Yarrowia lipolytica: one gene and its partners. The protein of the gene in region 2 purifies or fractionates together with the protein of the main gene of each other region. This does not show direct contact. Links are inferred from orthologs where the notes say so. Each region holds a gene or a part of one and is shown on either strand. Other genes may lie near its edges.

Region 1 (4,812 bases), on a different chromosome or scaffold from region 2:
AATAATGCGGACTCTCTGTTGATCTCAGCTGTGGTTATTGTATCGAGATTGGTATCCTCCTCTATTTTGACCTTGGCCGTACCACCAATAGTATCAGTACTTGGATCAGCACCTTCCCCGACAGAGGTATCAGTTGTGTGGCCTAAGGCGAATTTGGACACTTTGTGCTCGGCAATGATAGATGTATCTTTCTCCTGCTGCTTGGTCCTCATGGTGCCTAGCGGTGGTTCTCCAGTCACATTCTCGGACCCTCGATCAAATGCACCCAATTCTTCCACGTGAGTCTCAATGAGCCCGGTCTTTGACAGTTTCTCCAAGTCCAACCGTTTTTCCCTCCTGCTGCTCCTCTTCACCACTTTTCCTGCTCCTGCTCCTTGGTCATCAGACTTGATCCACAAAACTCGTCTTCTTTCCGCTGCCATAAAAAGCTCTTGGGTCGTGAGTTTTGGCGCGTGTCGGGATTTTGGAGACATTGGAGTCGATTTCAGCCGTATTTGTGCCATTTCAGCATGTTTCGGAAGTTGATAATCGGTGTCAAAAGCTCGTGGGGCCCAACATGAGGTTCAGTTCGGCTGTATTCTGCATTTCCGATGCGGCATGTGCATGATTTGACTGAGGCTCATGTGGGGTAAAATTGAAAAAAAAAAAATAGAAAAAATAGAAAATTAAAAAATAGAAAAACTAGAAAATTAAAAATTAAAAAAATTAGAAAAATTAGAAGAAAAAAAAGAAGAAAAAAATGACTACATTAATCTACTTATCCTATTAATAACATGATTATTTCAATCCTCCTCCACCACGTCGATGACAGCCACATCCAGCCGAATCCAGCCGTATCCAGCCTTTTCAGCCTCATGTAATTCCACAATCTACACAACCCACAATCAACCATCTATCAAATACATCATCCAACTATCCCCTGGAGCCTATCTCTCAAGAGAAATGGAGTTGCCAAACTTGGCATACAAATGCTTCTTGAGCTCCTCCATCTCGTCTCGAATCTCGGCCATCCTGCTCTGGGTCTTGTCGAGCTTGGCGTCCACTTCCTCCTGCTGCTTCTCTAGTCGCACCATGGCTTCACTCTGGGGAATGTCCACAAAGGCGTCGCCAATCTTGAACTTGACGGTCTCGTCCTCGTCCATCAGCTCCATCTCCATGATCAGATCGTCCAGGTACTCTTTGCTGGTCGACGACTCCTTCTCATCGTCCTCAAGATGGTCCATCTGGGTGTTGAGAGAAGAGAAGCGGTTAATTCGGTCCTGGTCCTCCCTCAGAACTTCCACGTCCTTGACCTCGGTTCCTTCGTCGAGCTGGGTTAGTACTGGATGGATTCGCCAGCAGACTCAGATAAGTGTAAACGAGCCCTTAACTGCGCACGATTACCAGTGGTTCAGGCATACAGCCAAACGGGTCGAACGCAGATGGATTTCTGGTTTCTGGTAAGTCAGCGATCAACATGGACACGGCAAGCAGATGTACCCCGGCTAATACATCAATTTGTGGCCTCCATCTCGATCTGTTCCTTTCTGCGGTCCCAGTTGCAATTATGGGCACATCTGACTTCATTACAGGATGATCAATCGATCTCAACCACATCTCTCAGCTCTACGGTACTCGGTGAGGTCGTATCCCTGGTTGGCTGTTGGTATGCTTGAATTTGTATACCACCTAGTCTCATACCACGGAGATTCAATTTTAAACAACCAACCAGACCTTCACTCATAATTGCCCTCCTCTCAAGATCAGATCAAAGACCAATCACGGATGTGTCACTGATTGCCACACCGCCCCAGCAACTGGCGATGGTCCATTCTGAACCGCATCTGCATTGTAACAACAAATTCTGTCCGCAAATGCGTCTCTAAAACCTCCTGTCCAGCCCATTACTCACCATTCGCATTGTGTGTAGTTGTGTGTTGGTCAGTGCACTCCTGGATTGTGTGTTCAGGCGTGCATCATCTTGCTTATGTAAGTGAACTCTACGAGGAGGATGGGTCGCCAGTTCGAACCCGGTCAGGTGGTATTTCAAGGAAATAACCGCAAATCGCGAATCGGACGAGTTATACCATCTTCCTCGACCTCGTCAATCGGATCTGGTGGATCGCATGATTTGATCACGTGACGTTATATCCCCCCTTCTTAGACTTCCTAAATGATGTTTATGTATCAAGTCCAGATTGGATTTCTCCAGTACGTACTTGTAGTGTTATTTGGCTTAAAAACAGTCGATTTTGTCCAGAAAAACCAATCATGAAAATTTGCAGGCAGATTTGAGCTGACTTCTCTGTTTCCAGCTCTTCAGCGCCATTTCAAGTCTTCCAGAATGTTCTCTGTTTTGGTCGTTATTTTCATCTCAACTTTAAATCACCACTGAAAAAAAAAAAATCGTGATTTTTCATTATTTTAGAGTTCCCCATAATTTCAAGTTTCACCGTACACATCAGAACAACATCATATTTCCGTCATATTCCGTCATATTTCCAACATATTTCTTCTAAAGATTGGAAATTGCAAAAAAATCAGACCAAATTAGTCGAAAATATCGTTCCAAGTCGAAAGACCGGCCTAAGATACCCACTTTTGCGCAATACCCAACATCCCCAGTCATGCCTTTGAACACCCTCACAAAACTTCCCAGACTCGCTCTGGCGGTCAGCGGAGGGTCCGACTCAATGGCACTGGCCTACATGATATCACAAACACCCGGTTTGAGCGAGAAAACCACAGCATACACCGTGGATCACGGGGTACGGAGTGAATCGTCTTCGGAGGCCCAAAACGTTCACGAAATCGTCTCTAGACTAGGTATAAACCATCGGATTCTCAAATTGGACGCTTTGAACGACACAAAAGAACTTTCAATGCGACAGGCGCGTTATTCGAAACTCATTGCGGCCATGAATGATGACGGAGTTTCTACAGTCGTCACGGCACATACCCAAGACGATTGTATAGAGACATTCGTGGTACGTATGCTTAGAGGAAGTGGATTATTTGGACTTGCAGGAATCCAGCCACGAGTCTCGTTTAATCCTTATACCTGGGGAGGAGGTGGTATTGCGCTGAAACAGCATTCAAGGACGGAATTGGCGTCTGGATGGAAGCTAATGAGACCGTTACTGGGTCTAACAAAGTCCCATTTACGAAATGTGCTTGTTAAGAACAACATCCCCTGGTTCGAAGACCCTACCAACCAAAACGTGGAGATTGCAGAACGAAACCTGGTGAGAAAGATGTATTACGAGTACCCGGAACTGATTCCGGAGGAGTTCCAGGCATCCAATGTATTGAGACTGCTGGAGAAGCTCAATGGGTATCGGATAAAGTGCGAAACGGAGGCTTCCGAGGTATCTTCCAGATTGCTAGCTGCTTCTCAATCGCCAGATGGAACTATTACTCTCTCTGAGGAACAAGTGAAAGGGGTTCTGACCAAACTGCCACATGATACGCTTCAACTAGTATTGAGAAACATTCTTTCTCCGCTATCTCCGTTGCCAGATCTGTCTCTAAGGCTGCACAGACTGCGAGGCTTGACTGGACGGTTTGAAGCAGGCAACAAGTTCAACCTTGCCGGAGTCGACTTCTCCCTCAGAAACGACAAATGGCAGCTGTCGCGCGAGGTGCCTCGACGACCTTCCGATCACGTGGTCCAGCTAACTCCCGGTCGTGTGAGTCTCTGGGATAACCGGTTCTTTGTTGTTTCCGACCTCCCAAAGGCCACGGTCCAGTTTATCGACTGGGACAGTCATCGAGAGCTGTTCAAGAGCAAGGAGGAGCTGAACAAGGCGCGAGATCAGGCGAGAAAGAGAAACCCCATCCTGGTTTACGAGGGTGGATATTCTTTTCCTGCTTTACAACGAGGTGTTTTGAATACAATGCCCAAGTGAGTGTACAGCACGATATGGGGAGTGCGAGGCAGCCCGGCGAGCCTCGAGGATCTTTCGAGCGTCTCAAGTTTTGTTTATTCATCAGCTGATCAGATTTCATCACCACTGGGGAAGTATGAGCTCAGAAATGGCTATAACGTTCCAGTAGCGTGATGGCAAACACAGCTCAACGACATGGCCGACATGAACGACATGCCCGACATGGCCGACACATATCATCATGCCCGCCGAATACAGCTTTGGAAACAAGAAGCCATGCACTGCAGAGCAGTTTTTGAAAACAAAATCAGCAAGCTCTATGGCGAGTGCACACTTGAAAACGTTGAAAGATTCAATTTCGCATTCGAGGGTCCAATGAAAGCTCCGATGGATGGTTTGACGTATTCTTGAAGTTTTATGAAGCTCAACTTCTATTTTTGGCGTTAACGAGGGAGTTGACTATGCCTGTTCGATACCGACTGCGGCAAGAGATCAACACCGAAGAAGTTCTACTCGGGAAGGGGGGTTACTTCTGTTAAGGAAGTCCATTGAAAAAGAGTCAAACCTGTCGCGGGTCCGAATTGGAGCCCCTTTTAAAAGCCGCCGTTGGTTCTGATATGAAGGAGGCCAGTCAAAACTGGGTAACACTACAATGCTCAACACCCACTCGCGAAGTCATGGCTCGATTATTCTACGAACAGGACCTGAAGCTGGAGTTTCCACATGCGGCAGATCTAGTTGACATTGCACTATTGTATGATATACCTGACCTTCTGGAGATTGCAATTCTCAAAATAAAGGCTCAACAGGATCTCACGGTGTTGTTGATGGACCTTTCCAATTTATTTATCTGACTTACAATCATCTATAAATCTTAGAACGGGCGACAGTAGTGATATATCTGCGACCAAAGTGTTTTAATAATGCTAATACTGAAAATCGCGTT
Region 2 (4,092 bases):
AGAGGGCCTTTCTACATCGTACGGAAACCCCTGGGGTAGTGAGAAACTGGATATCGACGTCAACTACATCTGTTCGGATAAGGAGGAGGGCCCCAAGCTCGAGAACGTGGGATTGGGTCTCAACAACTACTACGAAATCAACTGGAAGACTCCCGCAGCTTGCATCAACGACGGATCCAAGCCCAAGCAGCCCGTCAAGGAGCCCGGAAAGACCCCCAATGATGGGGACGACGCCAGCAACGGAAACCCATCGTGGGGATGGTTCACCTGGCTCTTCATCATCATTGTACTGGGAGTGGCGGTATACATCATTGGCAACGCCTGGATCAACTATGATCGATACGGCAACGCTGGTGTCGACCTTCTTCCCCATGCCGATTCCCTAAGAGATGTCCCCTACCTGATCCGAGATCTGATTGCCAAGGTGGTGGGTACTTTTACCGGCAGCAGTCGAACTGGTTACTCGGCCGTTTAAGCGAACGCAGCCACTAGTGACCCGTCACACAAAGGGCCAGTCCCGTGGTACCACCCAATCTGCTAAGAATGGGTCTTACGTATCGATCTTTTGATTGCCACGACGAGGGCAATCCACGATTGTTCTCATTGAAATAGGGGTGTATAGATTAATGTATTGCGAGTGAAGGAGTGTTAGACCTAGACGGTGTACTCGATTTAGTTACAATCTAACCGCCGCGTGGCTTGGAACACTACTCCCTAACCAGGGTGCGACTCATCCCTCGCTACGATTCCACCCAAACCTGTTGCAATCATAACATCATCATTCATTTCTATTCAACCTGATTCATTATGGCCTTCAAGGTCGAGCCGTGGTACGGGCTGTTGTAGGATCATTCATGGCCACAAATCAGACGTAATTCAGTACCAGCATGGCAACTAACAGTGAATCCCATTGATTGGTACAAGAACCAATGAAAACCAACCAGATGACTCATCCACCTCTTTCGCCTCACCCTCAAAGTCTTTCCTGGCTCAGGTCTGTTCCGTTCATTGTTCCTGACCAGCAGCCTTGAGTAGCTGCTCTAGACGCTTTCGGGCGTTCTCCACAGAAACATCCACGTAGGTCAGCTTCTTTTTGAGAGTGTCGAGAGCCTCCTCGCCCTTCTTCTTGTCCTTGGTCAGCTCCTCCAGGTAGCTGGTCTTGTCCTTCTTGACAAACATCTTGCCGACGCCTTGCCACACCACGTCGGACTTCTCAGTCTCCAGCTGCTGGCGCGAAAGGTCAATGAGTCGCAATTGTCGGTTGGCAGACTCGATCTGGGCCTTGACGGACTGCTGCTCGGCAGACTTGGAAGATAGCTCGGTCGACACGAGTTGGAACTGGTGTTAGTGGTGGCCCGAACAAGTACATGATCCACCCCCCTCCCCACCCCAGGGCACGTGACTCAAAAGCGGCTCTCACCTATGGCACGTGACATTCCCACGCCTTTTTTTTCCCGCTCCCTCCATCCGCTCATACTCACTTCGCTCATTTCTGTCGGGTGTAACAATCAGTGTGATCTGGACAGGCTGTATGCAGACCGATGGCAATTGGGAGAAAGGTTGCCGAGCTTATTTGGCGGTGGTGAAAAAATTGGACAGATACCAGTGTAAAGTACGTTGTGTGGGCATTAAGCCTGCAGATTCGTAAGCAGCAGTACAAGGCGGTCATTTTGGTACCAATTTATAGGGTATTTAGACTCAATTCGAAGAAAGTAAATCTCGGTGGACTACGACGAGTATCTGAAAAGAATTGATGAACCATTCAGTGTTACAAAAGTAAAGGAGTTGCAATGAACTGCACATGTCTTACTCCCGTGGAACTGGACTGTATTGGAAACACTTGAGCTCAAGAAAGATGTTCCAAGATTCACAGCAGGTGAAGAAGCGTTTGCAAATACAACCAACCAGTCTGTGACTTTACGATACGAGAGTACGAGAGTACGAGAGTACGAGAGTCTACAAGTATAGTACGTACTTGAACTAGTAAGTTACTGTCTCAGTATTAGGAGAATCACAAGAATGGATCTCTTTCCGAAGCTCCGACTCGAGCCAGACCTAGTCTGCTCAACTACTGATACCCTGAGTGTTTTGACGATGGAATTTGTTGATGGTAAGGGTTGGTTGATGTCGACAAACGGTATGGTAGTTTTGATATGGATGTGGAGGGAGAAAAAGATGGAGTTCGTGAAAAGTCGACCTGGGCGTGTTGAGCAACTGTATTAACAACAACTACTACATCATAAAACGGCTTCATGTTCAGAATAAATTCCAGATGAACACAATATTCTCTCACGATAAATGATAGTCGTCTTATAATGAACAGTAATTTGTCCTATTTGGATTTTATTGCGACCTGTCTTGTCCATACGTGATGCGACATCCGATATATGGAGATAATACTGGAAAAAAACACAAAAAAACACAAAAAAACACAAAAAAACACAAAAAAAACAAAAACAAAAACTGATGAGTTACCTACAAAAACAAGACTTGTTCCAAAAACATATTTGGACATGTTATACTCCTTCTGGACAGTACTCACTTACTGCTATGATCCCCTATTGCGCTTTTGAAGCCTCCACAGATCCAGGGGTTTTCAGGGTATGAGATGCCGTTGAAAAGTCATCAATAAATTGGATAGAAGCTGAAGACAATAATCAATAAAAAGCTACACTTGTAATAAACATCTCCATATGCTCCTCATATCTTCTGGTATTATATTCAGCAAGTATGACTCCATTGTAGTCTGCCGAAAAAGTCACCACGAAAGAGAGAGGAAAAACTGAATAAATTTCATTTAAATGTGAAATACGCGTAGTTAATGATAAAGAAATGAATCAATTGACAAAAATACAAAACATTAATTATACCAATAACCAGAGACCAATAAATCATCATGAGATGCTCCATAATACTGCTGAGAAGTTTTTCACACCGATGGTGCCGAGTGTACTTTCGAAACTGTGAATTTCTTGATTTGGCCACAGCAACCTGAACAGCACTGACCCTTGCTCAAAGAAAAGAATTTATTAGCACCAAAATCTTGTATATTGATATAAAATCATTTTGTAGTTTGGTATTATGGATGTTGTTTGGACCGATGGAAAGTTGTTGTGCCAGTTGTGACTATCCAATTGTACTGAAAAGTAATTGACCAAACGGAGAAGCAAGAGATATACTCAACAATAGAATATTTAAAAAGTTGTCATTATTTAGAATATGATACCATGAGTCCTACAACTATCCTGACTCAGTGGAGCTCATGTGTCTCTCTGTGTGGTAAACATTCCATAGGACTATTACTCGCCGGATTATCACGATAGAAGCATAAGAAGTTCATTGAAAGAATGCTGATATCATTGGTACTGTATCGATGATATTAATCGTTCCAATAGATCACACATTATGGCTACTAATTCAGTATCGAAAGTCAGGAATTTTTAACATCTCTGTAAGCAAATGTATACTGGCGAATATGTGGAGACATCTGTAAGGGGTTCAGATATACTGAGGTCTCTAGAAACAGAGCTCAAAAACTTGTGAGCTATCCAATATCTCAGGTCGATACTGTGTTAGAATGGTTCAGGTGGAGCGAAAGCTACGACCTATGGTATAAAGAAAACTAATGATAATTGTAGGCAATAATTATTGAGAAGAGCTGCAGCTTAGCACATACTACAATTACTTTGTGAGGTTGTAAAACAAGGGACGAGTGCAATCGTTCAGCTCTTGATTTGAATTGTATATAAACTAAACCTGGAATGTATCAAACGATTTGAATATATTCGGGAATATACTTCTATAAAAATCAAGTGTCCTGTACATACTTGTAGGTTGGTCGACTGAAGATATCATGTCGGTGATACACGTATCAGGTCTGTTGCTCTACTATGGAAAAGATGTGTGTTCTTAAATGAGTGTTTTATTCACGGAGAATCTCCTTATATCCAGAATCTTTCAAACAACGCAAATAATCGGTACAGGGCTGCTGAGTAACGACGAAGCGGTAATCGGTAAAATAAATGACCTAAAGATTTTTTATTTTTATTACTCTAATGATTAATTACAGCTATTTACCTACCAAGCTGGCTT
Region 3 (4,221 bases), on a different chromosome or scaffold from region 2:
AGTTAAATTTGGTAGATTTTGTTCCTGTGTTTGGCTTATCACGACAACAGGTTACCAGAGGCTGATTGAGCTGAGAAATGAACCAAGTATTCAGAAGGAGAACAAAATAACCGGTTCCCAATTTTTGGAGCAATTGGAGCCTTTCTGGGGACGATCTGATGTGGTATGTTGTAGGCTATAGATCAAGTGTTAGTTGGGAACTAGTTGGGGGTTAGTTTAGAACAGGCAAAACTAGCAGTTTCTCCAACTCTCCTTTTTTTCCTCACAAAGGTCGGGGGTTTTCTCCACATTATATCCAGCAGACAGACAAGGTGGATGGTATCGTTTTTACGGTGCGCCCACATCTTTCTGAAGAGCAGGTGATACGTTGTTCTCTTCGATTTTGCTGAGGAGTTCGGGCATGTATACATGGAAGAGAAGACTACATGTTCCTGAGATGTACAGAAGCTTCAAGACAAGTAATAATCGACCTATGAAAGACACAAGAATTGCTATCATTAACGATTGATCTCAATTGATCCAGAAGAGTTCTCAGGCCTTCACTTCTTTAGCTGTACGCGGAGCTATAGACAATCTACAGGAACTGTCATGACAAGTTACAATTGGAAAACAAGTAGATCCATCGGCTCAGAATCAAACAGAGATCCCAATTGCGGTTTCAAACCAGCTTTGATGATACACGTACAATCTTTGGAGATATCTACTCTTGAGTACATACAAGTAGCACCCTATCAGGTTATACAAACGTGGAAGTCAGAGACAAGTGTACCTACAACACAAGTCGATGATTTCTTGTCCAAAACAAAAACGGATGCCGCAGTGATATTCGCCCCAGCCCAGACATTCCGCTGATATCTTCCGATTTTGTTCACCCCCCAAAAAAATTCCACCCATTCTCAAGATTGACATTCATTTCATACCATCACCTACTTGTTTTCCGCTCGCTCCGCCTCCTCACGCTCCTTCTTACGTCGGTTTACGTCCCAGTTGTGCACACGGGCAATGTTCACCTCAACGGTGGTGATGTTTTCTCTCAGAAACAGCACATCTTCCTCGGCGGTGTCGTAGCCTCTCTTGGCACCCTCCAACCGCTCACTCAGCAGCTGCTTGGCCTCGGCAACATCGTACTCCAGCATCACGTTGGCGCCCAGCCACAGATAGACAGACTGAATGCCGCTCGCCTCGATCTTGGCTTCTGTGTACAGCGTGTCGTTGAGCTCGTAGTTGGTCACCACGTCTTCGCCGGCCGAACCCTTGAGCTGCAGAAACTCCACCATCTCCAGCGACTTTTGGATGTCCGGAATCTTCTCCTTGAGCCCGGCCTGCCGCTGTAAAGTCGTCATTTCCATATACTTGTACTTTTGCAGCATTTCCTGGAATTTGTCGAGCGATTCCTTGACGCCCGACTTGCTCACAAACTCGGCCACATTGTCGACGAAGGGGGCCCGGGGAATGCCGCGGGGGTTTGTGTCAGGTTCAGAGGACGCAGACATTGTGTGTGAGTGATTGTGTAACTGGAGTGATCTGTAGTGTGCGATCTGTGATGTGGTGATCTGCAGGCGGAAGTTTAGGGAGTTGGTGCAGTCAGTTTGAAGAGTAGTTCCACAAGTCACAATTTTGTATGAAAATGGGCTATGATTATTACACCATTGGAATAGCTGCAAATTTACTGATGGAAAGATACATGTTCCACAACATTTTTCTTGCGAAAACAACCATAGAGGACAACAAAGCACCGCCCTAACTCATGTACTAAGTGTGTATACCTTTACTTGAACTTAGTTAAGATACTTAGTTAGACGTTACGACGACATTACCCACATCCTCAAGCGTTCTATGGTGACTGGAAAATACCAAAAGATCAAAGAAAACCAGAAAAGAAAACTGTTTTTCATTGACCTGAAAAAAATCCAATCAAGTAATGTGAGAATTTCAATCTCTTCTGTTCTGCACCAGTACAATAAATCAAACCGTCAAAACCTGTCCAACTGAGAAGATAACTGAATCAGAAACAGTTAATTTACTCATATAATTGCAACCTATAAAAAAATCTGTGATTAATATCCATGCACTCCCCCAATATTGCGATATTTGGATCCGCTCGTTCCTCAGTGCAGACGCGCTGAGTGTTGAAAAGACACCAAAGAAGACACCAAAGAAGACACCAAAGAAGGACTTTGCCAGAAACCCGTTGAGATTGCTCAGTTAACAAATTGTTGGTGAGTTCATTTACTATCGGATCAACATTGGTTGTTTTTTTGATAAAGAACCACGAGGACTTCATGGAGTAAACATCATTTGCTGACTAAAGTATACATTCAAGTTAGATGGAGTCCTCCAGCAAAATAGATTGTAAGGAGACATTTGTTAGTTGCCACGTGACGGATGGAATGGTTATTATTCAAAATCTCTGATCGGGTGATTACCCGTGGTGATAGAAGTGGTGTGTGTAGTTGTCACTTCAAAGTGAAAACTCCAAGATAGAATCCGAAATTGGGCTCGGAAAGAGGAAGAGAAATCCCTGGATGAACTCAGCAGAGGGTTTTAACCGCAATTATCTTCTTTCACTTCTCTCCACCGTGTCTCTTCAGCCACTTGTAGACATGTCTCCATTCCAACTACACCTCAACCAATATCCTAACGATCTCAATCTTTTTGTTAATCAGAATCATTCCAGCCACCCCAACAAATTACTTGACCTGACAACCAAATCCGAAACGGAGAAAATAAATCCTCAAATCACAAAATCATATAACACAAAACCACCAAAAACCCCATTGCTTTTCCTAATCCGTCTTTTACCCCTTGCTACCTCTTCGAGATGACTTTGGAGCTTGCCCAATTTTTTTTTATGTTAGTCTAAACCCTAAAAATAAACACCTTGCCAAATTGGGATTTCCGAATAGCCGTCAGTTTAGCCAAAGTGAGTGCAGCAAATAGATGCACCACTTCGAATCGAACCGACGGTGATTAACAAACTCAAATAAGGTTTTGATTATTAATTTTGTCATTTTTTTTAGGGTAAAAAGGAACAATGACAGTAAACGATATTATGGCATATCGAGACCCAGAGTGATATAACCAATTTCTCTGCGATATTCCTAGACCCTCAAATAACCCACAACATCCCCTCTACGCCCATTCTCACATGACTTTCACAACATGTTGGAGGAGGGTCCCAATTTCGCCAATCTGGTTAAGGTTTGTCCCAATTTGTAATTCACGTGACGTGACTGCTCTTTCAAATTTTCAGTTGGGACTCCTCCCAAGTATCTTAATTTCTCTCTGCAGTCTCTTCATCTTCGACAAATCATTCACCATGGGAAAAGACTCTTTCACCAAGAAGCACCAGAAGCATTCTAACCGAACTGCTCCCAAGTCCGAGAACGTCTACCTGACCCTCCTGGTCAAGCTGTACCGATTCCTGGCCCGTGAGTGCGAGTGAGGACGTGTTATTAATGACATTGTCCAAGCACAGAAATGTGCGGAGCGTGAGCACTACGGAGAGGTTGAGAGTGGGTCTATGCATGTGCTGTGCGGTGGCATCTACCGTACTATTACAAGTATGGTACTTGTGTATGGCACAGTTGCGTTGCCCGAACTCCCTCGACATGCCACGTAGAGTGGTGCCAGAATCAAGACCCATCTTGTTTTGGGATTCTATTGATACGGCATCACAGTCGAATTTTGACATTCGGCCTTTTATTTCGTTTTCTTTTTACTAACTCAGGACGAACTGACTCCAAGTTCAACAAGCGGGTTCTCAAGGGTCTTTTCCTCTCCAAGGTCAACCGACCCCCCGTCTCCACTGGCAAGATTGTCGAGAACCTCAAGGTCAAGGGCAATGCTGACAAGATCGTTGTTGTTGTCGGCACCGTGACTGACGATCCCCGACTCGTCGAGTTCCCCAAGACCACCGTCGCTGCCCTCCGATTCACCGGCACTGCCCGAGCTCGAATCGTCAAGGCTGGCGGTGAGGCCCTCACTCTTGATCAGCTTGCTGTCCGAGCCCCTACCGGCGAGAACACTCTGATGCTGCGAGGCTCCCGAAACGCCCGACAGGCTGTTCGACACTTTGGCTTCGGTCCCCACAAGAACAAGGCTCCCCGAGTTCTGTCCAAGGGCCGAAAGTTCGAGCGAGCTCGAGGTCGAAGACGATCTCGAGGTTTCAAGGTCTAAGCAATTGGACTTTGAACAAGATCAACATAAAAAATGTATATT

Evidence for each region. The genes of interacting proteins can lie anywhere in the genome.
Region 1: the proteins of YALI1_C22816g (region 2) and YALI1_A02083g purify together in Saccharomyces cerevisiae (affinity purification with mass spectrometry; 3 studies listed by BioGRID). This does not show direct contact. The link is inferred for Yarrowia lipolytica from reciprocal best matches to the Saccharomyces cerevisiae genes PFD1 and GIM3.
Region 3: the proteins of YALI1_C22816g (region 2) and YALI1_B11916g purify together in Saccharomyces cerevisiae (affinity purification with mass spectrometry; 3 studies listed by BioGRID). This does not show direct contact. The link is inferred for Yarrowia lipolytica from reciprocal best matches to the Saccharomyces cerevisiae genes PFD1 and PAC10.

The regions. Positions count from the first base shown.
Region 1 is NC_090770.1:207,023-211,834, forward strand, and holds YALI1_A02083g (uncharacterized protein), read right to left. Parts: upstream 1,901-4,812; coding exon 1,892-1,900; intron 1,311-1,891; coding exon 927-1,310; downstream 1-926. Other genes in the region: YALI1_A02075g (uncharacterized protein), read right to left, coding at 1-503; YALI1_A02096g (uncharacterized protein), read left to right, coding at 2,607-3,887; YALI1_A02113g (uncharacterized protein), read right to left, coding at 3,987-4,325, 4,380-4,415. UniProt on the Saccharomyces cerevisiae protein: Binds specifically to cytosolic chaperonin (c-CPN) and transfers target proteins to it. Binds to nascent polypeptide chain and promotes folding in an environment in which there are many competing pathways for nonnative proteins.
Region 2 is NC_090772.1:2,279,091-2,283,182, reverse strand, and holds YALI1_C22816g (uncharacterized protein), read right to left. Parts: upstream 1,491-4,092; coding exon 1,482-1,490; intron 1,339-1,481; coding exon 1,006-1,338; downstream 1-1,005. Other genes in the region: YALI1_C22835g (uncharacterized protein), read left to right, coding at 1-475. UniProt on the Saccharomyces cerevisiae protein: Binds specifically to cytosolic chaperonin (c-CPN) and transfers target proteins to it. Binds to nascent polypeptide chain and promotes folding in an environment in which there are many competing pathways for nonnative proteins.
Region 3 is NC_090771.1:1,190,122-1,194,342, forward strand, and holds YALI1_B11916g (uncharacterized protein), read right to left. Parts: upstream 1,494-4,221; coding exon 927-1,493; downstream 1-926. Other genes in the region: YALI1_B11934g (60S ribosomal protein eL18), read left to right, coding at 3,320-3,431, 3,731-4,179. UniProt on the Saccharomyces cerevisiae protein: Binds specifically to cytosolic chaperonin (c-CPN) and transfers target proteins to it. Binds to nascent polypeptide chain and promotes folding in an environment in which there are many competing pathways for nonnative proteins.